Arabidopsis thaliana: one gene and its partners. The protein of the gene in region 3 interacts with the protein of the main gene of each other region in a pairwise test. Each region holds a gene or a part of one and is shown on either strand. Other genes may lie near its edges.

Evidence for each region.
Region 1: the proteins of BCB (region 3) and GONST5 interact in a protein complementation assay, tested with the Arabidopsis thaliana proteins (one large-scale study listed by BioGRID).
Region 2: the proteins of BCB (region 3) and TBL36 interact in a protein complementation assay, tested with the Arabidopsis thaliana proteins (one large-scale study listed by BioGRID).

Annotation. Positions count from the first base shown.
Region 1 is NC_003070.9:7,673,591-7,681,581, forward strand, and holds GONST5 (golgi nucleotide sugar transporter 5), read left to right. Parts: upstream 1-4,617; coding exon 4,618-4,731; intron 4,732-4,827; coding exon 4,828-5,077; intron 5,078-5,172; coding exon 5,173-5,380; intron 5,381-5,562; coding exon 5,563-5,794; intron 5,795-5,885; coding exon 5,886-6,107; 3' UTR 6,108-6,253; downstream 6,254-7,991. Other genes in the region: sks7 (SKU5 similar 7), read right to left, coding at 273-382, 482-625; AT1G21864 (Plant thionin family protein), read left to right, coding at 1,975-2,256; AT1G21866 (Plant thionin family protein), read left to right, coding at 3,909-4,190; LYM1 (lysm domain GPI-anchored protein 1 precursor), read left to right, coding at 7,099-7,765. UniProt on the Arabidopsis thaliana protein: GDP-mannose transporter that may be involved in the import of GDP-mannose from the cytoplasm into the Golgi lumen.
Region 2 is NC_003074.8:20,080,900-20,088,890, forward strand, and holds TBL36 (TRICHOME BIREFRINGENCE-LIKE 36), read right to left. Parts: upstream 6,069-7,991; 5' UTR 5,847-6,068; coding exon 5,536-5,846; intron 5,350-5,535; coding exon 5,178-5,349; intron 5,093-5,177; coding exon 4,911-5,092; intron 4,754-4,910; coding exon 4,604-4,753; intron 4,523-4,603; coding exon 4,198-4,522; 3' UTR 4,072-4,197; downstream 1-4,071. Other genes in the region: AT3G54240 (alpha/beta-Hydrolases superfamily protein), read left to right, coding at 27-36, 129-391, 467-1,246; AT3G54250 (GHMP kinase family protein), read right to left, coding at 1,569-1,791, 1,896-2,020, 2,089-2,137, 2,237-2,394, 2,473-2,559, 2,825-2,969, 3,130-3,193, 3,277-3,475 and 1 more; AT3G54270 (sucrose-6F-phosphate phosphohydrolase family protein), read right to left, coding at 6,520-6,609, 6,706-6,752, 6,916-7,102, 7,256-7,546, 7,629-7,823, 7,921-7,991. UniProt on the Arabidopsis thaliana protein: May act as a bridging protein that binds pectin and other cell wall polysaccharides. Probably involved in maintaining esterification of pectins. May be involved in the specific O-acetylation of cell wall polymers.
Region 3 is NC_003076.8:6,822,688-6,830,678, reverse strand, and holds BCB (blue-copper-binding protein), read right to left. Parts: upstream 4,315-7,991; 5' UTR 4,054-4,314; coding exon 3,882-4,053; intron 3,690-3,881; coding exon 3,271-3,689; 3' UTR 2,931-3,270; downstream 1-2,930. Other genes in the region: PI (K-box region and MADS-box transcription factor family protein), read right to left, coding at 1-42, 163-224, 1,222-1,476; AT5G20220 (zinc knuckle (CCHC-type) family protein), read right to left, coding at 4,908-5,308, 5,569-5,671, 5,771-5,863, 5,949-6,081, 6,160-6,248, 6,333-6,495. UniProt on the Arabidopsis thaliana protein: Probably acts as an electron carrier.

The DNA of each region.
Region 1 (7,991 bases), on a different chromosome or scaffold from region 3:
CGAATAAATTACGGGAAAAATGTCGTAAAAGTCCCAACAACGAAGTTGTTCCAAAGGCAATCGAAGTAAGAGGGAGACGAGTTTAAGAAGAAAATGAAACAGCTTTTTAACTTTGCATACAAACAAATTGAACGGTATATCGAAATTGTAATTGTGTACCTTTTTTTATGAGAGCCTTAAACTTTTTCTCCAACAAGTTTTATGTGATTGATTATCAATTTGTCATATAATCTCACGTCCAAAAGAAATTCCCGAAGGAAAAGGAGACATACCAAGACAAAAGGAAAGGTTCGTCGAGATGGTTGAATACGTTAATGATGAGATTGTCATTGGTAATAGAGATGATGTCTGGTCCTGGAAACTTCCCGTTAATCAATATACCCTACTTGAAAGAAGAAGGGTAAGCAAACTTAAATTGAATTAACAAAACCAAACATTTGGCGAAGTTCAGGTTAAAGACTTAAAGATATATAAAGCGTACCTGTTGCGCAACACCAAGAGGAGATATGTTGCCATAGGTTACGTGCCATTCGAAGAATCTGTATGGATCTTCAGCGAAGGCGAGGCTGATTAGAAACAATAGAGTGGTTATCATCGCCCTAGTGTTCATGCTTTTGACCTTCATTTTATGATTGACAACGAGGACATGAAACGTTCATATATGTGTGTGCTGTGGGAGAAAAATATTGATGGATTGTTTTCCAAATCGGCATGCAAACCGAAATAATATGTTAAGATTTGGCTAATTATATGCATATAAAACAATTTTCTTTTTCGAATATGAAACTATAATATTTTTGAACTATTTTTTTTATTGGTTTCAAAGAAACAAATCTAAATATTACGAATATTACAATATAATAGGTTAACTTTCCCAAAATGATAATTTCAGATCTATCGAAATGGACACATATCATAATGAGAATCCCAAAGATACTAATTATCAGAAGTCAATTTGAAAAAGAAAAACAAATCTTCTAATTTCTAGGAAACTAGCTACATTTCATTATACCTAATAGTTCATCATTTTCAAATTATATGTTTATAAAATTTTCAGACAATATAAAATAGTTACATTTTCTGTTTTACTTTTTATTAATATATTCAATAATTTTTATTCGTCAAGATATTAAAACAGAGACTAGAATTTTTACCAAACATCTACATTGAAAAACATAAACAAAACTTATTATGAAACAAATTTAAAGTTATAAACCCCCAATAAAACTGTAACAATATCGTTTAAGAAAATAATCGTTAAATATATAATGTTAATGTGGTTTAGTCAGGCATTATATTTTAAATAATTTGTGTAGGTAATTTTGATTAGGTATTTGAATTTAATAGTTTTATGGAAGAAAACTGGAGTTGTTAAAGAAATATGAATTTTAATTTTTAAATAAAGACTTTCAGATTGGACTAATATCATTCTATTTATCATTTTGGACATTAAATTCTTCAGTTTATTGTATGATAGCTAGATACGATTTGACCCTCTCCACGTAGAAATTCACTCTTTCCATTTTTTTTTTTCTTTTACCTCAAGTTCCACCACCGTATTGTATCGAGCCATCAATTGAAAGGTATGCATTCTTTACCATGTGCACATTACCATTTTCGTAACAAAAACGTGGTTACGAATTTAAAGAAGAAAATGCCACTAAGATACTTGTTGTACTGGCTAATATTTTTAATATGAGCTATTAATGTTACTATATTTATGCATAGCAAATAGTTGTTTAGATGACCAAAACAGTATAACACATTTATAAGTTGTCCAGAAATCAATCGATATATTTGCCAAAGAAAAAGAGACGAAAAAAAGTTGACCTCCTAATAGTTAGTTACTTCTAAAATCAGCTAAAACTATATTTACTATATAAATCATCCACATCAACCAACATTCTCACCAAATCATCTCGTTTCACCAAAAACATTACAATTTAAGATTTGCAGACTCACAATACTTACGACATGGCAGTTCAAGTGTCAAAGAAAATTTGTCGTGTATTGATGATTGTAATTTTATTTGCAATGATGTTTTCAGCTCATTCCAACTCGATAGATGTGTGTGTCAAAAATTGTGGCGTGAACCAGTGCATGAAAGCATCAAAGAAAGCGACTCCAGCTATATGTGACAACCCTTGCAAGATTATATGTGATCCTCTCAACAACGAGCGATACATCGTCCCTCGAGGTAATGGTGGTCCTATAAAAAGGTTCTGCAGAGCATTTAGCTGGATTTGTAGCGCGTAATTGATCGACATTACAAAAATTGTCTCCTTTCTTTATGCATATATTATATATTTATGTTTTTTTGTATCATTGTATTGATCCATATTTCAAGTACTTATGTATCCTTCTTCCATAATTTTATTATACCTAATACTCCCTCATTTTCAAATTATATTTGTTTAAAGTTTTTCAGACAAATTAAAATAATTACAATTAATTTCTGTTTTTCTTTTTATTAATATGCTATGATTTTTTATTCGTGAAGACATTAAAAAAAACTAAATTTTTAACCAAACATCTACATTGAAAAACATAACCAAAACTTATTATGAAACAAATTTTAAGTTATAAACGCCAATAAAGTTGAAACAATATAGTTTAAAAATAAAATAACTAAAATATATGATGTTAATGTGATTTAGTTAGGCATTAAGTTTCCATAATTTGTATAGCTAATTTTTTTTGAACATAATGTTAAATTATATTCAAAAATATATATATATATATATATATATATATATATCATGTTTACAACAAGTGCAACTGTTTTAGAAAGAAAGCTGAGAATATAGAGTTGTAAAAAAGAATTATGTAGGCATTTGAATTTAATAATTTTATGGAAAAAACTGAAGATGTTAAACAAATATGGATTTTATTTTTAAAATAAATACTTTCAATCAAATTATATTAGTCTTGAATTTATAGATTTTATGAAAAAAAAGTTTATTGTGTTTTCATGGAGGAAAATGACGATAAAGACAATATGAAAGAAAATTATGTTTACAAATGTACATATTTACCTGGGAGGAGTCATATTAAATGATCTAATCCGCCTTAGTGTATTGTATGTATCTAGAACCTCTTACTTATTCATAAACAAAAGTACATATTTTCCTTACGTTTTCTTATAAACAAATGTACATAATTTCCTACTTATATATATATATATATGTATTCAACTCAAAAATTATAGACAAAACAAAAGGATTACGTATTCTTTTTGTTCCTGATGAATCTTTCACCATATTTAAGAAAAACTATAGGTTTGAAAGAAAGAATGTACCCCGATGATCGCCAAAATATTTAAATCACATGAAAAATAACAATGTGATTTAGTTAGGCATTGAGTTTTTAGGATACTTTTGGTGGAATTGTTATTTTTCATTTTTAAAAAAGGAAAGATTTTTAGTGTCCAATGATAAATTCAATGATCTTAAAAAATTATGTACAGTGAAAGGTAATCATTCCTTGTTAACGGTATGTATTCTTTACCATGTCATGTGCATATTACGATTTTCGTAACAAAAACGTGGTCACGAATTTTAAGAAGAAAATGCCACTAAGATATGTGTTGTACAGGCTAATATTTTAAATATGAGCAATTAGTGTTACTATATTTATGCATAGCATGCAAATAGTTGTTTAGATGACCAAAACAGTATAATACATATAAGTTGTCCAGAAATCAATCGATATATTTGCCAAGAAAAAGAAACGAAAACAAGTTGACCTCCTAATAGTTAGTTACTTCTAAAATCAGCTAAAACTATTTTTACTATATAATCAACACAACATTCTCACCAAATCATCTTGTTTCAAAACCACAACAAAAAGAAAAAAGAAAGAAAAAAAACATTACAATTTAAGATTTTCAGACTCACAATACTTACGACATGGCAACTCAAGTGTCAAAGAAAATCTGCAGTGTATTGATGATTGTAATTTTATTTGCAATGATGTTTTCAGCTCATTCCAACTCGATAGATGTGTGTGTCAAAAATTGTGTCGTGAACCAGTGCATGAAAGCATCAAAGAAAGCGACTCCAGCCATATGTGCCAACCCTTGCAAGATTATATGTGATCCTCTCAACAACGAGCGATACATCGTCCCTCGAGGTAATGGTGGTCCTATAAAAAGGTTCTGCAGAGCATTTAGCTGGATTTGTACCGCTTAATTGATCCACATTACAAAAAATTTGTCTCCTTTCTCTATGCATAAGTTATATATTTATGATTTTTTGTATCAATGTATCGATCAATATTTCAAGTATTTATGTATCCTTCTTCCATAATTTTTTATCTTTAACAATATTTACTTGTATACGGAAAATTTGTTAAAAATCTAATTATTTATATTTATATATGTAACAACTGAAAATTGGTAACTTGTATAAGCATAATTTATGCTGCATAAACATATTTGCATTTAACTACACGGAAACTTACTAAAGAGAAAAAGAGAATTCTCGCATATAAAACAGAACCGTTACTCTGTTTCTCTTGGCGCTTTAATTAGGGTTTCTTATTTAGCTTTTGCATTGCCACATTCCTAAAGGTTTCATCTTTTGGATCCTTCTCTGACTCACTTCTTAAAACCCATCAATGGAGGAAGGAAGTCTGTGGCGTCAATGGACTATGTTCAGATCTCTGTTATCGATTCTTCAATGGTGGGGTTTTAACGTTACTGTTATCATCATGAACAAATGGATCTTTCAGGTTTAAAAAGTCTCTTACTTTTATCATTAAAGACTTAGCCTTTCGTTTGTTTTATCTGATCTGCGTTTGAAATTTGGTACCTTTCCTTGTTTGCAGAAACTGGATTTCAAGTTTCCATTATCAGTTTCATGTGTTCATTTCATATGTTCGTCGATTGGAGCATACATTGTGATTAAAGTCTTAAAGCTTAAACCTTTGATTGTGGTTGATCCAGAAGATAGGTGGAGGAGGATTTTTCCAATGTCATTTGTGTTCTGTATCAACATTGTGTTGGGGAATATTAGTCTTAGATACATTCCTGTCTCTTTTATGCAGACTATCAAATCTTTAACTCCTGCAACAACAGGTTTAGGGTTTTTTTAAGATTGAGAATTTTTCAAAATAAAGTGATTTTTTTTTATTGTTCTGATTGGTTTTTGTGTAATGGTTTTTTGAGTGCAGTTGTGTTACAGTGGTTGGTATGGAGGAAATATTTTGATTGGCGTATTTGGGCGTCATTGGTGCCTATTGTTGGAGGGATTCTTCTTACTTCTATTACAGAACTTAGCTTTAATGTGTTTGGATTCTGTGCTGCTTTGTTTGGATGTTTAGCTACCTCTACAAAGACCATTCTTGCAGAATCTCTTCTTCATGGATACAAATTTGACAGGTCAATGTTCTGTTTCCTGAGGTTTTGATCTTCAGTTTCACATGATAGGTGTTGAATGTGTGAAACTTACATTTGGTTTCAATGACATGCCATGCTCTCATAGTCCAATACTTGATTTGCTTTTTCATATTTCATGGAACTGAGTGTTTGTGTCCTCCTCATTTTCATGTCTCTCTATGTAGCATAAACACGGTATACTATATGGCGCCTTTCGCGACCATGATTCTCGGGTTACCTGCATTTTTACTAGAAAGGAATGGAATTTTGGATTGGTTTGAAGCACATCCATCTCCATGGTCGGCTCTCATAATTCTTTTCAACTCAGGTGTTCTAGCTTTCTGTCTTAACTTCTCCATCTTCTATGTCATTCAATCCACAACAGCAGTCACATTCAATGTAGCTGGAAACCTTAAGGTAAATGAACAAATCCCAAACCACATAACATTAATCTTTATATTCTAGTTTCAATAACTCAGATGTTTGATGGATGGTATGTGATTTGCAGGTTGCAGTAGCTGTGTTTGTTTCATGGATGATATTTCGAAACCCGATATCACCGATGAATGCTGTTGGCTGCGGAATCACACTTGTGGGCTGCACCTTTTACGGATATGTAAGACACATGCTTTCTCAGCAACAACCCGGAACTCCTAGGACTCCTCGTACCCCAAGGAACAAGATGGAACTGATCCCTCTTGTTAATGATAAACTCGAGAGTAAAATTTGAATATCATCGGTAAGTCACTAGACTATTGAACGCACACAAAGAAGTTAGATTTGATCTTGAACATCCACAAGAGAGTTATAGTTTAACTATATGTTTATTTTTACTCAAACTAGAGAAGTTAGAGAAGTGCCATTTTATTTGTTTCCATTGTATTAAATTATCTATCCTCATCAAACCAACTCAGAGATGACCACAAAGATACTTAAAGCAGGCCCATTTTTGTATTCAATTATGGTAGTGCTTTCACTTACCTCAGCTTTTTAATTTTTCCTTCCAATTTTGTTTGTGCCATAGTGCCATGTTCTAACATCAGAGACTTAATACATGACAAAATGGTGCAAGTTTGGGAATCTTTGAAAGAAGATGAAAATAGAAAGTTAATTTGACAATATATAAGAAATGATTATTCATTTTCCCGCCTTGATACATGAAAGAGCTTAAGACGGTGTTTAAGGGAAACGAATATTTTAGCTCTCAAAACAGCTCATCAAATTCGTTGCTTTAGCTTCTCAAAAGTAAAAAATGGGCTTTTTCAAGTGGGCCTCAACTTATGTTGCTGAATTTACCGCCATATCCTTCCCTTACAAAAAATCAATTTTCAAAAAATCTTCATGCTACAGTAGTCTGAAACCAGGTCAAAGGAGTTAAAGAGAAAAGGGCAAAACAGTCAAACAGCATAAAAAGATGTCTGTGTCTTGGAGATCGCAAAGCTACCGTTTTCTGTTCACTCTGTACAACACACTTGTCTCCTTCTTCCTCTCTTCTCTTCTCTCTCTCCATTTCAAAAAGGGTGAAACTTTTCTTCTCTTTCTAGAAGAAGAAAACCAGAGATACAGAGAGATTCTCTCTCTACCAAACCCCTGGAAAAATCTCCAGATTCATCTTCCATAGACCAAACTAAACTCTGTTCACTGTACTCTCTGTCATTGTCCTGTAAGAGAAATTGAAAACCCTAGGAGATTTTGAATTTCGTAAAACCCTAAACACAAAAATGAAAATCCCAGAAAAACCCATCTTCTTAATCTTCGTCTCTTTGATCCTAGCTTCGAGCTTAACCTTCACAGCGACAGCGAAATCAACAATCGAGCCTTGCTCAAGCAACGACACTTGCAACGCTTTACTCGGCTACACACTCTACACCGACCTCAAAGTCTCAGAAGTCGCATCTCTCTTCCAAGTAGACCCAATCTCTATCCTTTTAGCTAACGCCATCGATATCTCTTACCCAGACGTCGAAAACCATATCCTTCCTTCGAAGCTCTTCCTCAAAATCCCAATCACTTGCTCCTGCGTCGACGGAATCAGAAAATCTGTCTCTACCCATTACAAAACCCGACCTTCTGACAATCTAGGATCGATTGCTGACTCTGTTTACGGAGGCTTGGTCTCTGCTGAGCAGATCCAGGAAGCTAACTCGGTGAATGACCCGTCGCTGCTTGATGTTGGGACTAGTCTTGTTATCCCCTTGCCTTGTGCTTGTTTCAATGGCACCGACAATTCTTTGCCGGCTGTTTATTTGTCGTATGTTGTGAAGGAGATTGATACATTGGTCGGAATCGCGAGGAGGTATTCGACTACTATTACTGATTTGATGAATGTGAATGCTATGGGAGCTCCTGATGTTAGTTCTGGAGATATTCTCGCTGTTCCTTTGTCAGGTCAGGTCTACACAATCTTTAAAAGTTGTATCTTCAGATGTTTGTATAATGGGAAGTAGTTTCTATTGTTAGTTGTTGGTTGCCAAATTGGGATTTTTGGTGTAGCTTTGTGGACTTTTGATTGTTTCTTTCATTGCTGGTTGATTGTTTTCTGGGTTTTGAATCTCATTAAGGTATTGTTTTTGGCATTGAATGAGTTTGAGCTACCAAAAGTTTCCCTCTTTGT
Region 2 (7,991 bases), on a different chromosome or scaffold from region 3:
AACTTTTTTATCAAGGTTTTTTCAACATGAAGAAATGTGAGTTTTTGATTGATTCAAGTAAACGTAAGTTTTGCAAAAGGGATGAAGGAAATGTGATCACTGATTTATTGATTTGAATATTTTGATAGGGTTAATAACAGGAGCAGTGGTAATAGTGTTGATTGGATTAGGGGCATGGGCTATTGTTTCCATTACACCTCCACCTCCTAAGAGATGCGGAACCCCAGGTGGACCGCCTATTACCGCCCCTAGGATACGTCTCAGCGATGGCCGTTATTTAGCCTATGAAGAACATGGAGTTAGTAGACAAAATGCCACTTTCAAGATCGTCTTTATCCATGCATTCTCGACATTTAGGCGTGACGCTGTTATCGCCAACCGTGTTCGCCCTGTAATGATTTGATATCTTTCTCTCTTACTATTTCTCTTATAGAGTATTTCTGTAATTGCATTGTTTGTCTCTCAGGGCTTTCTCGAGAAAAATGGCATCTACGTGGTTTCATATGATCGACCTGGTTATGGAGAGAGCGATCCTCACTCGAGTCGCAATGAAAAGACTTTAGCTCATGACGTTGAACAACTTGCTGACCAACTACAACTTGGTTCCAAATTTTACGTGGTTGGATACTCAATGGGAGGTCAAGCCGTTTGGGGTGTTCTCAAATACATTCCTCACAGGCTCGCAGGAGCGACACTGCTTTGTCCTGTGACCAACTCATGGTGGCCGAGTTTCCCAGATAGTTTGACATGGGAGCTATGGAACAAACAATCAAAATCCGAAAGGTTTTCGATGCTCATTACTCATCACACTCCATGGCTACTCTACTGGTGGAACAATCAAAAGCTATTTTCAACAACAGCTGTGATGCAATCAAGCCCCAATATGTTCTCTCCTCAAGATCTTGCACTACTGCCCAAACTCGCCGCAAGGGTGTCTTACAAGAACCAAACAACACAACAAGGGACACACGAATCACTTGACCGAGACCTGATTGTTGGATTTGGGAAATGGAGTTTTGACCCTATGAAGATCGAGAATCCGTTCCCTAAGGGTGAAGGTTCGGTACATATGTGGCAAGGGGATGATGATCGGCTCGTCCCGATACAACTACAAAGGATCATTGCTCAGAAACTAACTTGGATCAAGTATCATGAGATTCCAGGTGCTGGTCATATTTTTCCGATGGCTGATGGGATGGCAGAAACTATCTTAAAAGAACTCTTGCCTATTCCTCAATCATCTTAAATTCAATTTTACATATGTTTAGATAATCAAAAAAAAAGTTGTACAGTTTGTCTCCACCCCAAAAAAATAGTATTGCTCTGTTCCTCATGAATAAATTTCATTTCATTTTATTTTTTTGCGTCTTTTAAAGTATTTACTGCAGCGCAGTAAAAAGATTTTTCTCTGGTAAAACAAAACCAATGAATTTCTTTTATTTGGAAATAGGAAAGCTAATAGTTAGATGACAACGTACCTGCACCTATTCTGCCACATATATCGTATCTTAAACTTGCAGTTAAAGGAGATGCTAATCATAATAATTAGTTTGAAGCAGAGAGAATGCTCACTTAGGAAGGCCTGTTTCAGGATCGAGAAGGGCTTGAGTTTGGTCGTGAAGCACGATGGGACCTTTTCCAGGTCTAGTGCAGATAAAATAACTGACTTCTCCTTTTTGATCCTGAGATCCAATGTTGTCTTTAATTTCAGGTGGAGGTTGCAGATTCTCTACACCACTTGCTCCATCTAATCCTGCTTCTTTTAGAATTGAATTATCGCCCACTACGTAACTGGTAAATAAAGAAACCAAAATCATTACAAACAGCTTTTTAGTCAATTTTAAAACTCATAGAAAACCGCAGTTAAACGGATCACACATTGTTCTGTGTCTCACCTCTTCATATCAGTGTCTGACTTAGGGGGAAAATAGTACAGAAGCCCCTGGAGCAATTGGACTGCGACCTTTCTGTTGCGTGCAATCAGTACAGCATTTGGACCAGCATCAAATGTGTAAGCAACCTGTACAGATTTACATTTTGAGTTATTAGTTGTTTTCAAAAGGTTGAGTCAAGACACTAGAACTTTACCTGTGGTGTCCCTTCAGAACGGTTCCACTTTTCAACTAAGCTAATTATTCTGGAAAAGCAGATAACAGTTTGATATATTAGAATAAATAAGGGTTTGATAACAAATAAACTGAAGCAGCATATAGAAATATGTCAAAATAGAGAATACCTGTGTGAAGTGTCATTCATGTAGAATATGGGTGGAGATGTATCCAGACAAACAGCATGAAACTGATTACTATCTGTACATGTCAATTGTGTAAACGATGCAAAGTCTCGATTTTTTATAGCTTCCTCCATTTGCAAAATCCGTTTTGGCACAACTTCCTATAGATAGAGAAAAAACAAAGGATGAAGTTTAATAGGTAATACAGAAGTTCATTAAACATCAAGAACAGAACGTACTTTTGCTCTATGCTGTAAAAGCAAACTTGTCTCAACACTTTCACGCATTCCGGAGGTACTGCTCGTTTCCTTCTGCCGTGAACTCACCTGTTATAAAAAGTTTGAATGAAGGCACTAAATTTTAACAGATTTCTGACCATTCGAACTTGTCCATAATGCTATATTCACACGTTGAAATAGAGCAACTCAAAATCTTGTCGTGGAAATACTTATTTATATATCTCGTTCAATCAAATAGTATGACGACAGTAAAAGTAACATATGGTTAATTTGAAAAACAGCATGATCTGGAAGATGGGAGAGTCGGAGTAATCCTGCCAAAAAGTCACAATATTTTTTAAAAGAGCCATACCACAGCAATGATGATAACAAGATCATCCCAATGCTTCTCATCTGCCAGTTGAACTGCAACGCTGTCACTTCCATCTTCTTTGCTTCCCATTGTCCACTTGACAAATCCACCAAATAAACTCCGGCAAGCACTTCCTGAACCTTGCCTACATGAGCAAACAGAAATCAAACCATGAATATCAGTACCATTTAATTCCTAGAGGAGTGTCAGATTTCACTTCACTATCACAACTCATGCATTAGTAGATGACTATACATAAATCAAAGCATTGATATATAGTGCAAGGAAGTCCACTACATAGGTACCTGGCTATTGCAGAAAGATGGCTTGGATCTTCATCTACATTCATCAACTTTGCAAGAGAAAAAACTGTAGGCAAAAAAAACAGTTTGACATAAACTACAAGCCATTCTCAAGCTCATAATCATCAACAGAGAGAAAAAGCAGAATACCTAGACAAGCAAATCCAGCAGCTGAAGATGCTAAGCCAGCAGCAGTAGGGAAGTTATTATGAGAAGCAATATGTAGATTCAATTTCTCCCAATCTTTCTTCCTTATCTTGATCCCCTTTTCCATGTCTTCAACATCACCAGCACGACCTCGTATTTCCCTCAAACAATTTTGGTACCTACTTCCAGAAAGAGATATTTCCTACACTAACATGAAACAACAACAACAACAAAAATCTTTGTAATTCGATAATTGGAATCTCAGCAAAAGGAGAGAGATCGTGATGGGAAATGAAGCGAGTGTACCTTGCCATTGAGCCACATTCGATCCCGATCAAAAGCAGGACTAACGGCAACAGTGGTGACTGTGCAGAGATGATCAGGATCAAGAGTTACGCTAATGCTATCGTTAACGGGGAGAATCCGAACCTCATCTCTCTTTCCCCAATACTTAATCACCGCAATGTTCGTCGGAGTTTGCGCCGTCACCATGAACACCCATTTCTCCGTCGCCATGTGAATCTCCAAAAGAGATCTGCAGCTTCAAAGTAGTTGAAAATGAAAGCGACGGAGAATACGACAGAATAATGATGACTCATTGCCTTTACAATTTTAAAAATATTATTTTATTCAAAAATTGAGAACTTCACTAACTGTAAAACTCTAATCAAATGGTTATTGCCATTTTGATGAAAACACCAAAACTTAACCTAAAACGTTTTAGGAAAAAAATTGAGTTAGGTAAGAAATAACCAAAACACGAAAATCATTGTGATGCATGAACTTTATGCTTAAAGGCCTTTGAGTTGTCTTGTCTTTGATATTGGGATATTTGTTAGCTGGGAAAGGATATGTAATATATAAACCACTGATTCATATAAGTAACACCATTGTTCATGAGTAAAAACAGACTCTTATTATAGCTCATACAGCATTGGTTAAGATAATTGAAGAAAGCATCTCATTCCAAATATCCGGGACACCGGGCAAGCACCAATGACTGCAATCTGATGAAGGTCCAGCGATACGATGGTGCTTCTCTTCCTCGTGCATTGCTCTCTTGAACACCGAAGGATGACCGTCTCTTCTATACGCAGACATTGTTGTGATATCGTATAAATACACTCGGTATTTCATTGTCCTTAGCACTTTGTTCAACACTCTTGACTGTTGAGGCACGTGGGGTTTGGTGGAAGAAGATAAAGAAGGCAAGGGATGTTTCTGGTTGTAGCACATCTGACCACTCTCTCTGCCAAGAATTTATGTACATGAATTAATGGTGTCCATTTTGTATATATGTTGAGATTAAGAGGAGAATATAAGAAAAAACCTCGGTGAGACAGTGCGGAAAATGACTTTTGTTTTGGATGGATCAAGATTTATCTCAACCCATTTAGCCCATGTGGTTAGTCCTCTCTCATAAGCAACCATTGGGTCCATAGCTTTGAAGATCTTATTCCCATCCATGTAATAATCCCACCTAAAACATCAATAGCTTGCGTTACTGTCACAAATCCCAAATCTGATGTAAAATGAGACACAATAACAAATACAATGAACATAGACGTCTATGAACCGTTATACACTAATCATTTGCTTTTGAAGGAAAGATGTAAGTGTTTATTCAGATGACTTACGAACTCCATCTCTGAGAGTGAGTCCACCAGTGAGCGGAATCGAATACAAGAACATCTACACCACGCCAATATCTAGCATTGTCTTCGATTGAGTCCAAATGTAACACCCTTTTACGGTCAACTCCTCTCTTGAGTTCCACAAGCAGAGGAGCCCAACAAAACTCAATTGATGTCTCAAAATCCTGTATAGTAACCAAATTTAATAGTTGCATCTACTAACCAATGATGTATATGTGATTCAAAAGGAGATTTGTGATTATTAATTACCAGAGAATGGAAAGACATCGTAGGACCATTGTAAGTGAGCTTCTTACGATGAGTGGGAAGAACAGACTGTACTAAGCAGACAAGAGATTCCCACTGGTTTCTCATCATTGAATCTCCAACCAGCATTATTCTTTTTCCTCTCATTTTCCCAAGAAATTTCAATGCGTCAAACCTAAACACCATCATGGAAAGAGCCACTATTTTGGTTAATATTAATGTCTCTTTCCCATTTTTCATTAGTCAATTTATTCATCTTGCAATTAACCATGCAAAGCCAATATAAACCAACTTTTTTACTTGATGAGACAGAAATTTTAAAAAGAAGTAATGTAAGAAGTAAGAGGAGTGTGGAGTGTGCCTTGGTAGTGAACAAGCCTTAGGGATCCATCTCCATTTCTGGTAATAAGAGTCGGGTCTTCCATTTCTTTGGCAACTTAGTGCAGAACTCAGATATGGACAGCTTGAATCATAGAGCGGATACGTTTCATCGAACGTCCATTTCCCCACCGAGTAATCACACCTCTCCTCTCTTCTTTCACGCCTCGTCTGCAAGGCGTTGAGTGGATCATCGTCCCCTACTAGCCATAACTCATCAAACTGAGACAAAACTACTTTGCCAAGGATGAGACACAAAGATAAGAACAAGACTCGAGTCTCTGAGGTAGCCATTTGACCAGGAAACTGAGCAGTGTGGGCTTGGAGAAAGAAATAATATAAAGAAGATGGGCAACAAAAAGTGGATAAAGTGAAAAAGGGCGTTAATTACGGAAAGTGGTGGTAATTAGTAATTAGACTTATGCTTGAAATCATGTCCCGTGACTTGCGTCTCCTCTTCTCTCCATCATATCATTTTTTTATAAAAACAGATTACAGTATCCAAGGCGGGATTTGTGAGTTTGGTGGAGCGTTTTGTATATGGTTTAAAAAATCGAAATAGTTTCTCAACAAAAACAAACAGAAATAGTAGAAAACAATCCATATAAACCAGAAAAAAGAATTGCAAATCAAACACAATGGTAGGTTTTGTAAGACTAAAGAAATGTAGGTTTTGTTGTAGAGACCCAAAACTCTCCCTGCCCTCAAAAGGTCATGAACAGACCAAATTCAGGACCCAACCTTCCTTATTAATAGTTTTAAGTTAACCCAAATATGTAAAAAAGTATTAATGAAACGAAACCAAGACATGGCAACACCTTCTTCAGCTTTTAGTATCCTTCATGCTTTATCAAACTCACACCATCCCCAAACAAACATAACACAAAACAAACACTATGCTCTTTGGTTAGCTTCTGTCCCAAACAGATGTCATCTTTAGTATGTCAGTCGAGATTAAGATAATCCTTTAGAAAATCCATTTTTCTTGATCATCTGAAGAAGATTCATCTAACCATGATTGGTGGATGTGCATCCACGTCAGCCTTTGCTTTTCCTCCTTTCAATTTTAACCCATTTTCAGTTATTTTTTTCCAATATTATTTAACCAATCTAATCGTTTGAAATCTTAAAAGGATCATAAATCAAGGTTTACCTTATAACTCAGTAAGACTTTTGTTGAACAAGACCGTACTTTTCCCTCTGTAAACACGAGCTAGACATTAGAACATGGAAGCAAACTTCTACAGTATACCCTTATGATGAGAAATCAAACAAATCAGTTGATCGTATTTTCTGCTAAATCATTTCCTAGCTCGATAAGTCACAAGTATAAGCCATGTAATTGAAGAACAAGATTTCTTACCAGATAACTCATGCTTTACAAATTTTGCAAGCCATGTATCTGAACTGATATGAGAAGACGTAACATTATCCAACCAAATGCGAAACTTCTTTTCCTTCCCATCACCGTATAAATTTTCCATCTCATCTATCCATTCATGTATCGGTTTCTCCACTCCAGACGGATGAACAAAAATACCAAGTGGACTCTGAAACATTGCAAAAGCATAACAATTACGTCAACTAATAAGTCTACACAACACAAGCAATCAAGAACATCTTCAAAATTATCAATTTGAGCACTTGAATTTCCATTACGTTAGATGCTAGAGAGCTTTTTTTTGTCAAATAAACACACTTACAGAGAGCGATTTCAAATTCTGCAAGTACTTGTCAGACTTTTCCACCTCTCCACAACGCCATCTCTCATAAAACAAATAAAACTGAACAACCTCATGAGCAGGATTCAAACTTTCCCCATGGAAATTTTCAGTGTCCATAACATCTCTAGGAGAGACATTTGGTCCCAAATTAAACCTCTGAATAGCTTCTATCATACCAGCTCCACACCTCTCAGACGCATGAAATATTTTTGGGTTGTCCTTTGCATTTTCTTCATACCATTGCAATAATTCTTCATGCGAATTGCTAACCTTAAACAGTAAAAATATAAGCACAATCACTCACGCGTAGTCAAGTATGATCGAACCTAAAAAAAAGTAGTTGGGAACTAACCATTACGCCATATACGTCAGAAATGTTGAAAAGCTCAGCATCATTTCCAGAGTCACCACAAACAAGTGTGTTAGAAGGCTGCTTGCCTTCAATATCCAACTTGTCAAGTAGATATGTCAAAGCACCTTGTTTGCCAGCTCCTCTTGGTAATACATCAAAAGCATATCCATTACTATAAACCAGCTTCACATCCACCTATAATGAATTTTACTGTCATCAGCACCAAAAGTAACAATCTATGATAAGAATGTAGCCATCAAGCTCACATAAAGAGTACACACAAAAATCTCACCCCACGCTCCTCTAATATCCCTGGAAGAACCTTCATTATTTCAACAGCGTCTTCTCTTCCCACGAAAAAAC
Region 3 (7,991 bases):
TTTTTCAAGTTGAGAGACTGTATATCTTCTCCCTTCAAATGCCTGTAGTCACAATTTCCATGAACTTCTCAATTTGATATTTCAACATTATTATAATCAAATGTTTTATATATATACTATACTAGGGTAAAGATATGGCAATGAAGGGTGAAGAATAATGACCTGAGCTCCAGTTGTAAGCTATCATTCTCTTTCTTGATCCTATCAATCTCATTGCTAAGGTTCTGGAGACAAAAAATATGTATTAGATGAGCAATAAAGGTTTTAAGAATTTAGATCAAACAAAAAAAATACTTAGTAATCTGTACAAACTAAACATAAATATAGATATACAAAGAAGCAATCCATGACAAGTCTCTCTATGTTCATGTTTCATGCAAAGCATATAACACACACACACACACTGACACACATATATGTATATATATTGATATTAGTATATGTAAAAGCATACACAGATATACATGCACAAATACTACTAGGCAGTGACTTAAATGGTATAAAAGCCTCTGTATGCTTATTACCCTATAGAGATATATCTCATTTGTGAGAACTAAACCTACATTTGTCAGAGCTAATTAATAATACATATAATATTTGCATCAAAATTTAATTTAAAAAGGATACTCAAAACTCAAAAGCAATTTTCAAGTTTTCAATTAGTTTTGAAAGCCAGAAACGTAAAATCAGTGTACTAATCAGAAATTCTCATTCCCAGATACATATCACATCCCAGATTTTTCTCTCAATTAATAACTCCATAAACTACGGATCTGATTCGCATAAGATTTGGTCTTGATGGTTTCAAAACACAGTTGGTTAGATATACTCTAGATTATACAAATTAAGCAGGAACAAAAGAAAAGAATAACTTCCATGTTTTGTGGCTCCATGTCTTGTTGAGTACAAGAAAATCAATAAAGACGCATGTTAGGCTACATACACAAAGAAACCTTTGTAGATCTGCATCTAGGGTTAGAGTATTTTTCTTTCTCTTTGACATATTTTAGGAAAAGAAAATTAAATAACCAATTTCATGATATCTAGCTCAGAATATATGTTTTTGAGACAAAACACTATAGTAGATCTGCATCTAGGGTTAAAGATTCAAGGGTCTTTTGACATGTTTTTGGTAAAGAAATTGAAAACTTATTACATGATTTTGGCCATGGAATATTTTTGAGACAAAGAAACTTTAGATTAAAAAGAGAGCAAAATTACCTCATGCTTAGCATCCCATAGTTTCTTGCCAGATAACTTCTGGTATTGGTCCAACATAGCACCAAGATCCATGGAAGGACAACAGTAATCAATCATCTTACCATTACTTGCAAAGATTATGAGGGCAACTTTTGCATCACAAAGAACTGTGATCTCTTTAGCCTTCTTCACCAATCCATTCCTCCTCTTTGAGAACGTCACCACTCTGTTGTTTGCGTTCTCTATCCTCTTTATCTCGATCTTTCCTCTACCCATCTTTCTCTCTCTATCTCTTTCTCAATTTTAGGGTTTGCTATGAAATTGTTAAGATATGGAGGAGAGGATATGTGGTTTATATGAAGAACAAGAAGAGGAGCATTGGTTTTAAAGTAACATTGATGAGATAGAGAGAGAAATGTTTTGATTAATCTTGAGGTGAAGAGAGACTTTGACAGTTTGGGATTGAAAACAAAGCTACTTTCTTGAGGGCACAGTCATGGAAGGCTTGCTTTTGGTTCGCTTATTACACATAGCCAACTCTATTTTCTCTCCTTTTTTTACAGTACCAAGAAGATAAAAAAAAAACTTGAAGTAACGTAATAAAATAAAGTAAAAACAAACTTAGTGATTTTGCTTAATGAACACTCTTTGCATGTGATTGATGTTTATTTTCTTTCATTTGATTTGATCATCTCAGTCTCTCTCGTGATAGGTTAAAGTGTCGTTTAATTAACCTCTGGTCTCTTCCGTACTATGTTTTCTTCAATGAACTGTGTAGAGAAAACAAATTCTAGATATCTGGAAAGATAAAATTCTTCATATGAAATGTGGTCAAACTTTTATTTAGCTTACTCGTGTATGTATATAATTAATTAAATTTAAATTTGAGAGGCAAACATGATAATACCATAATTTCTTATCCAACCACATATATCATCAATTAATTACTTTGGGAAACTATCTTATTATGTCATCAATTATATAAAACGTGAAATAAGATAGTGTCCCAATGATTTTGCAACTAAATCATTTTGCAAATAAATTTCCCATTTTGTCTATCTCGAAAACTAACCATTAAATCAAATGAAAGCAACGAGTTTTGCAACTTTGTAGATTTAAAACCAAAAATCTCTGTAAAGAATTGCTTTTATTTTTACAGGTTCTTACTTTGGCAAAACCAAGACTTGCTATTTCAAGAACTCTATGTCATATATAGGTCTTATCGAATATCGTAGCTACACTAAAAAATCAAACATATTAAATTATTGAAAGTTGAAGATATCACATTGACAAATGAAGTAAATAAAATAAAGTTAAATTCAGATGGTTTAGAAAAAGGAAAAAAAAAAAAGAAAAAGGAGCAGTGTAATTACCAAAGACCTTGGTATAACCATTAGACTTTATCATGCTTACATTGTTATGGGGAAAATGTCTTTGGTTGTTGAAAACAAAACAAGTTTATGGTTTTCTTGATTCACGTCGATCAGACACGTGTCAATTTATTGTGGAATTTTGTGGTCTTATGTTTTGTACTTAGTACGGGCATACTTTTTGGCATTTTCTCGATTATCAAACTATAAAGCCAGAGATTAAAAATCTCCACACACAAAAAAAAAAAAAAAAAAAAAAAAAAGTTGTGAATTCAGGTGAGAAACGTATCCACTGAAACAAAAATACCATATTGTTGGTATATTGAATTAGTAGATAACCTATGTCTTTTTAATATTATTCTAACTTCGGTTCACAATCAGGTAATGTTTACTCGTTGATTGAAAATATTGAGAAGGCAAATTTTGTCTAATTATACATGAAAACTAGACAAATTGGATGAAGAAGATGACTAATTTTCATGAAATATGGTAATATATAGTAGTAATCTCAATGATATTGAAACCCACTCTTTATTTTGCAACCGAATAATCATATATTGAAACTCAATACTAATCACAAGTATAAGACGTTTATAATGACTTGAAAACAAGTCCTTATTCTCACAAATAATCAAATACATGACTATTTAAATAAGGAGAGTAAGGTAAAACAAATACATAACTAGGTTTCGAGTGTGACTCAAAAGAGAGCAACAACAGCAGAAACAAAAGCGACCAGAAAAGTAGCACCACCTAATGAGGAAGCGGCATTTCCAGCTGGAGTAGTGGTTCCGCTAGAGCCTGAAGGTGTTGTGGTCCCACCCGCAGTGGGAGGAGTGGTTCCTCCAGTACTTGGGGTTGATCCAGGTGCTGGGGTAGCACCGGCACCAGGAGTAGCACCTCCAGTTGCACCAGCAGCAACTACAGTGATGGAAAGTTTTTGACCAAAACGACAATGGTCACCGACGGTGCAGATAAAGTATTGTGGTCCAGTGGTGTTTAGCATAATTTTGACCGGAGGAACGGTCATGTGGCTAATGGGTTTCTCTTTCTCACAGTTTTCAAATGCAGCTTCTGATACAACTGCCACATCATGCCTCCCAGCAGCGAAATCAAATTCTGTAATAAGAATATCAACATCAGTCGGTGGAAACTCAATTAATCCCTTTTTTAGCTAAAATATGTTCATAAGAATATAGAAAGAAAGACAGAACAACACCGACATGATCCATGCACGATCCCATAACTATGACTGTTATAAGAACAAGAAAAACAAAGACATATTTCAGCTATAAGAACAATAAAACTCACCGAGCTCGTCGCCTACACGGAAAGTTTTACCGGTAGCCCAAGTAGTATAGAACTCGGGGTCCATAGGTCTCGTCCATTCCGTATCATCACCAACATCGTAGTCCTCCGCGAAGACAACAACGGCAGCGAAAACCAAAACAAGAAACGTAACCGTTTTGAAAACTCCGGCCATTATGTTATGTGTTGAAGAACTCAGGTCACCCCCTTTTCTTTTCTTGGTCGAGAACTATATATGTCGTCTCTTAAAAGATAGTAAATGACCCCTTTTGATTTTTGTGTTTGTTGTGGTTTCAAAAGTCTTGCAAGAGAGACTTATATTTATAGGACAATTAAAGAGAGGCTCTCAAGGAGTCATACGCAAGATACGGGAAGACGCGTTACGTGTTGTGTCGTTGAACAAATCCAAATTTAGATATTATCACTTGTGGTCAATTTTGTCTGCTAAGTTTTTTTTGTCCACAATTGTTATTTTTAGCGCGTAAAGACATTGTACATTTGTAAATTTAGATCAAGTAAAAAACGTGACTAATTACTTTTTGGGTAATGATTATAAAATTTAGTGTTCAGACTAAATATAACTACCTAATAATAACCATCCGATATTAAGGCATCGAAGAATAGTAGCATACTAATGTTAGAAAAAACAAAGTGTTAAATGTGGATATGGATGAGATATTAGGTGTTTATAGCATTTATATGGATAAGTCGATAATTGTTCAGAAATTTCTAGGCTCGATTGTCTTTCTTTGCATGGGTCCGTTGTACCAATTCAGGTCGTATTCAAGAAAAATCAACCCAACAAGTATATATACTTGCACGTAAACGAATGCGGTCATAACCCGAAACCAAAAGCGGTCAAACTCACTTCAGTTTTTGTTTGAGTTTAGATAGTTCAAAAAAGACCAATCGGGACTCAAGTGATTGGTCCGATTATAAACCCGAAATATCCATCCGCTAAAAAGGACTTGTCAGTGATTGGTTATTTCAGCTTCAATAGCAAAACCAAGCCTAACCAAATAAACAGGTTCAAGAACCTTCTTGCTCTAAACAAGAATCACTGTCTGAAACTTGTTTACTTGGACAGGTTCTTACATTATGTCCCATTTTCTTGCAGAACCCACAAGCATACGTTATTTTACCAACACCATCTTCCCCGGAATTTTCACCACTGCAACTAGGATTCACTCCGGTCGGCTTCCGGCATGTTCTGCTGTTGTGACCTCTCTCACCGCATATTCCACATTTGTGATACCTAGTGGAAATGCCTTTAGTGACTATTGATTTCGACTTAGGACAAGTTCTACGGTTGTGGCCTTTCCCGCCGCAACCCCGACATCTAAATTTTCTGTCCGCATTAGTGCCTAGTTCTGGACAGTAATGGCGTCTATGGCCTTCCTGTCCACAGTTCTTGCAGTAAAACTTAGTTCCTGAATCAATGAGAGAAAAATGGTTCTTTTACCATTTCATAGCTTGCACATGGAACTGTCACCACAAAAGGAAATCAAATCGAAACCTACATTTCTACACTTCGAATCAACATTATATCTCAACTTTAAGTGACAAGCCTCAACCTAATTCATCACAGTGATCTCACATTATTGGAGAATGTAAACAGATAAAGCTCAAGAAACAAAAGAGTACTACATGGACCTAAACTCTGAAATTCTACCAAGAAACTGAGACTTACCTTTCATAGATAGGCTTCTCTGTTCACGGTTTACAGGGTTACTGAAGAAAGCTTTCATAGATTCGGATGCATGCTTTCTAGCAGCTGGTGTTCCTTTAGCTTTCTAGAACACAACAACACTAAGCAGATTCAAGGGAAAAAAACAACAAAACTTGTTCCATGTTAATTTAGGATATAAAACAAAATGGAGTAGATTACAGACCTTAATTGCAGCTACTCTTTGAGCATGAAGCACTGGATCACGATGTATAATCTTCATGCGCTTACTAAAAAGTCCAGTTTTGGCATTGAGACTCTATAAAAACCATAATTTGGACTGACTATGACAATTTCCCATGGAGAGAGTAGAATAACATGAAGTGTATATGAATGAAACTAACTTTTAGAGATCGGCTGATCTTTTGTCCAACTTCAGGAGTTGGTGACTGATAAATCCGCTTCGATTTTCGCCTTTTACTGAACTTTATCTCTAAATTATCAACCTCATCATCCTCCTTTACTCTAAATGGAGAACTGTGGCAGAAAAAAATGAGGTTTATTAGTCAAACATTAAACAGAATTAAGACTTCAACTCTTGAATAACAACACTACCTGGATCTAGCTTTCTCCCAAGGTCGTTCATCGATTGATTCTTCCCATATGACACAATCCCCCAAACATCTGAGACAAGTCATTATGCCCTACACAAATTTAAGCAAAGTTTCTATAACAAGGAAAGACTTTTGTTACTCAAAAGTTTAAAGTAATTTAATACTTTTAAGTACCTTTCCTTTGCATTGAGGGCAGTCTAATCGCGACCTCTCGATTCCGCAATTTGAACATGAAGTATAACCTCTTCCCCTACAAGTTGGACAAGGAAGCTCTCGAATGTACTGACCGTTAGGACCAAACCATGACCTTGGTTCACGCGAATCACCAGATATGAACCTGAATAAACCATCACCAAAAGCACATTTTTGAAGCTTAGCCAAATTGTGGATCATGTATTTTACCAACTATCAAGTACACCGACTTGACCAAGTAACAATATGTATTCCTTACTTTTTTAAGATTTTCTTTTTCTTTTTAGGAAATTATTAAGAGTTTTTTTTTTCCTCAAACTTCAAAGAGTTTCCATTTTGGCATTTTTTTTTTTTTCCTATTAGTAGAGTGCTTTGCTTTTACGTTTTAGTATAAATAAAGATAGGGTCTCGATTATGAGACTCATACAAGCTAGAGAGAGCTTTGAGTTTTATACGTTTTGGGTTTCTTTGAGTCTTGCAATAAAGAGAGCTTTTCGTGGGGTTCTGTGTGACCGTGATTGTTAACTACCTGCAAATAAGAACTTGAGGAATGACTACCAGTAGGATTGAGTCACGTTTGATCGCGATAGAAAAGTACCACAAGGCCTTGCATGAAGAATTTATTGGGTTTCATAAGAGACAGAAAGAGATCCAGGATGCTATTTTGGAGTTTACAAGGATGGTTTCGGCTTCAAAATCGTCGCATTCTAAACAAGAATCTGCAACTGTCCTTGAGGAGGACATTGAGATGCCAAGTTTTGATGGAGACCATCTCTTCATATGGCTAGAAATCATTGAAGTTTACTTTACTTTGCAACTCGCTCCAGAGGTTTGCAAGGTAGACACTGCATTCAGGAGTATGGAAGGTGATGCTCTACTCTGGTTACAATGTCTACGACAAGAGAACCCGACTTTAACATGGTCTCAACTAAAAACTGAGCTTATAGAAGAATTTGGAGGAGGAGATATTACGGCCTCTCCTGAAGAACAATTGGCATCACTTCGACAAACAGGATCCGTAGATGAGTACGCTAATGAATTCCGTGCTCGGGCAGCTCAAATAGGTAATAAGGACCAACTTGTAAAAGGCATGTTTCTTAATGGACTTAAAGAAGAAATCCGGGTGATGTTCCGACCAAACGATGCTGAAGGACCAGAGATGGCTATACGCACCGCAAAAGCAATCGAGAGAGAGTTGAATTTTAACAACCGAGCAAAGGGTAGACGCCAATATTCGTCGCACCAAGAATATTTTGACATGGAAGGAACAGGCCTTTGTTATCCCGGCTATCAGCCGTACTCCATCTTTGATGACTTCTGAGGATAAGGCAATCATGGATGGAGAGATACGTGCTATGTAAGAAGAATAGACTACACTACCACAGGAGCAAGCCTTGAGGACAAGACTTTACTTTGGGAGGCTGGAATGTTATGTTTTTTTCTTATTTTTATTTAGGATTTTCTATTTCTTGAATTTATGAAGGATTGTTTAATGCTTCCACTATTCTATTTTCAAGATTACTTCTACATCCATGCTTGTCTTTTACGTTTTAGTTTACTTATGCATCCATGCTTGGTTTTTCTATTTTTTTTTATGAAAGATTGTTTAGGACTTCCACTTGTCTGATCCTAACTCAAATA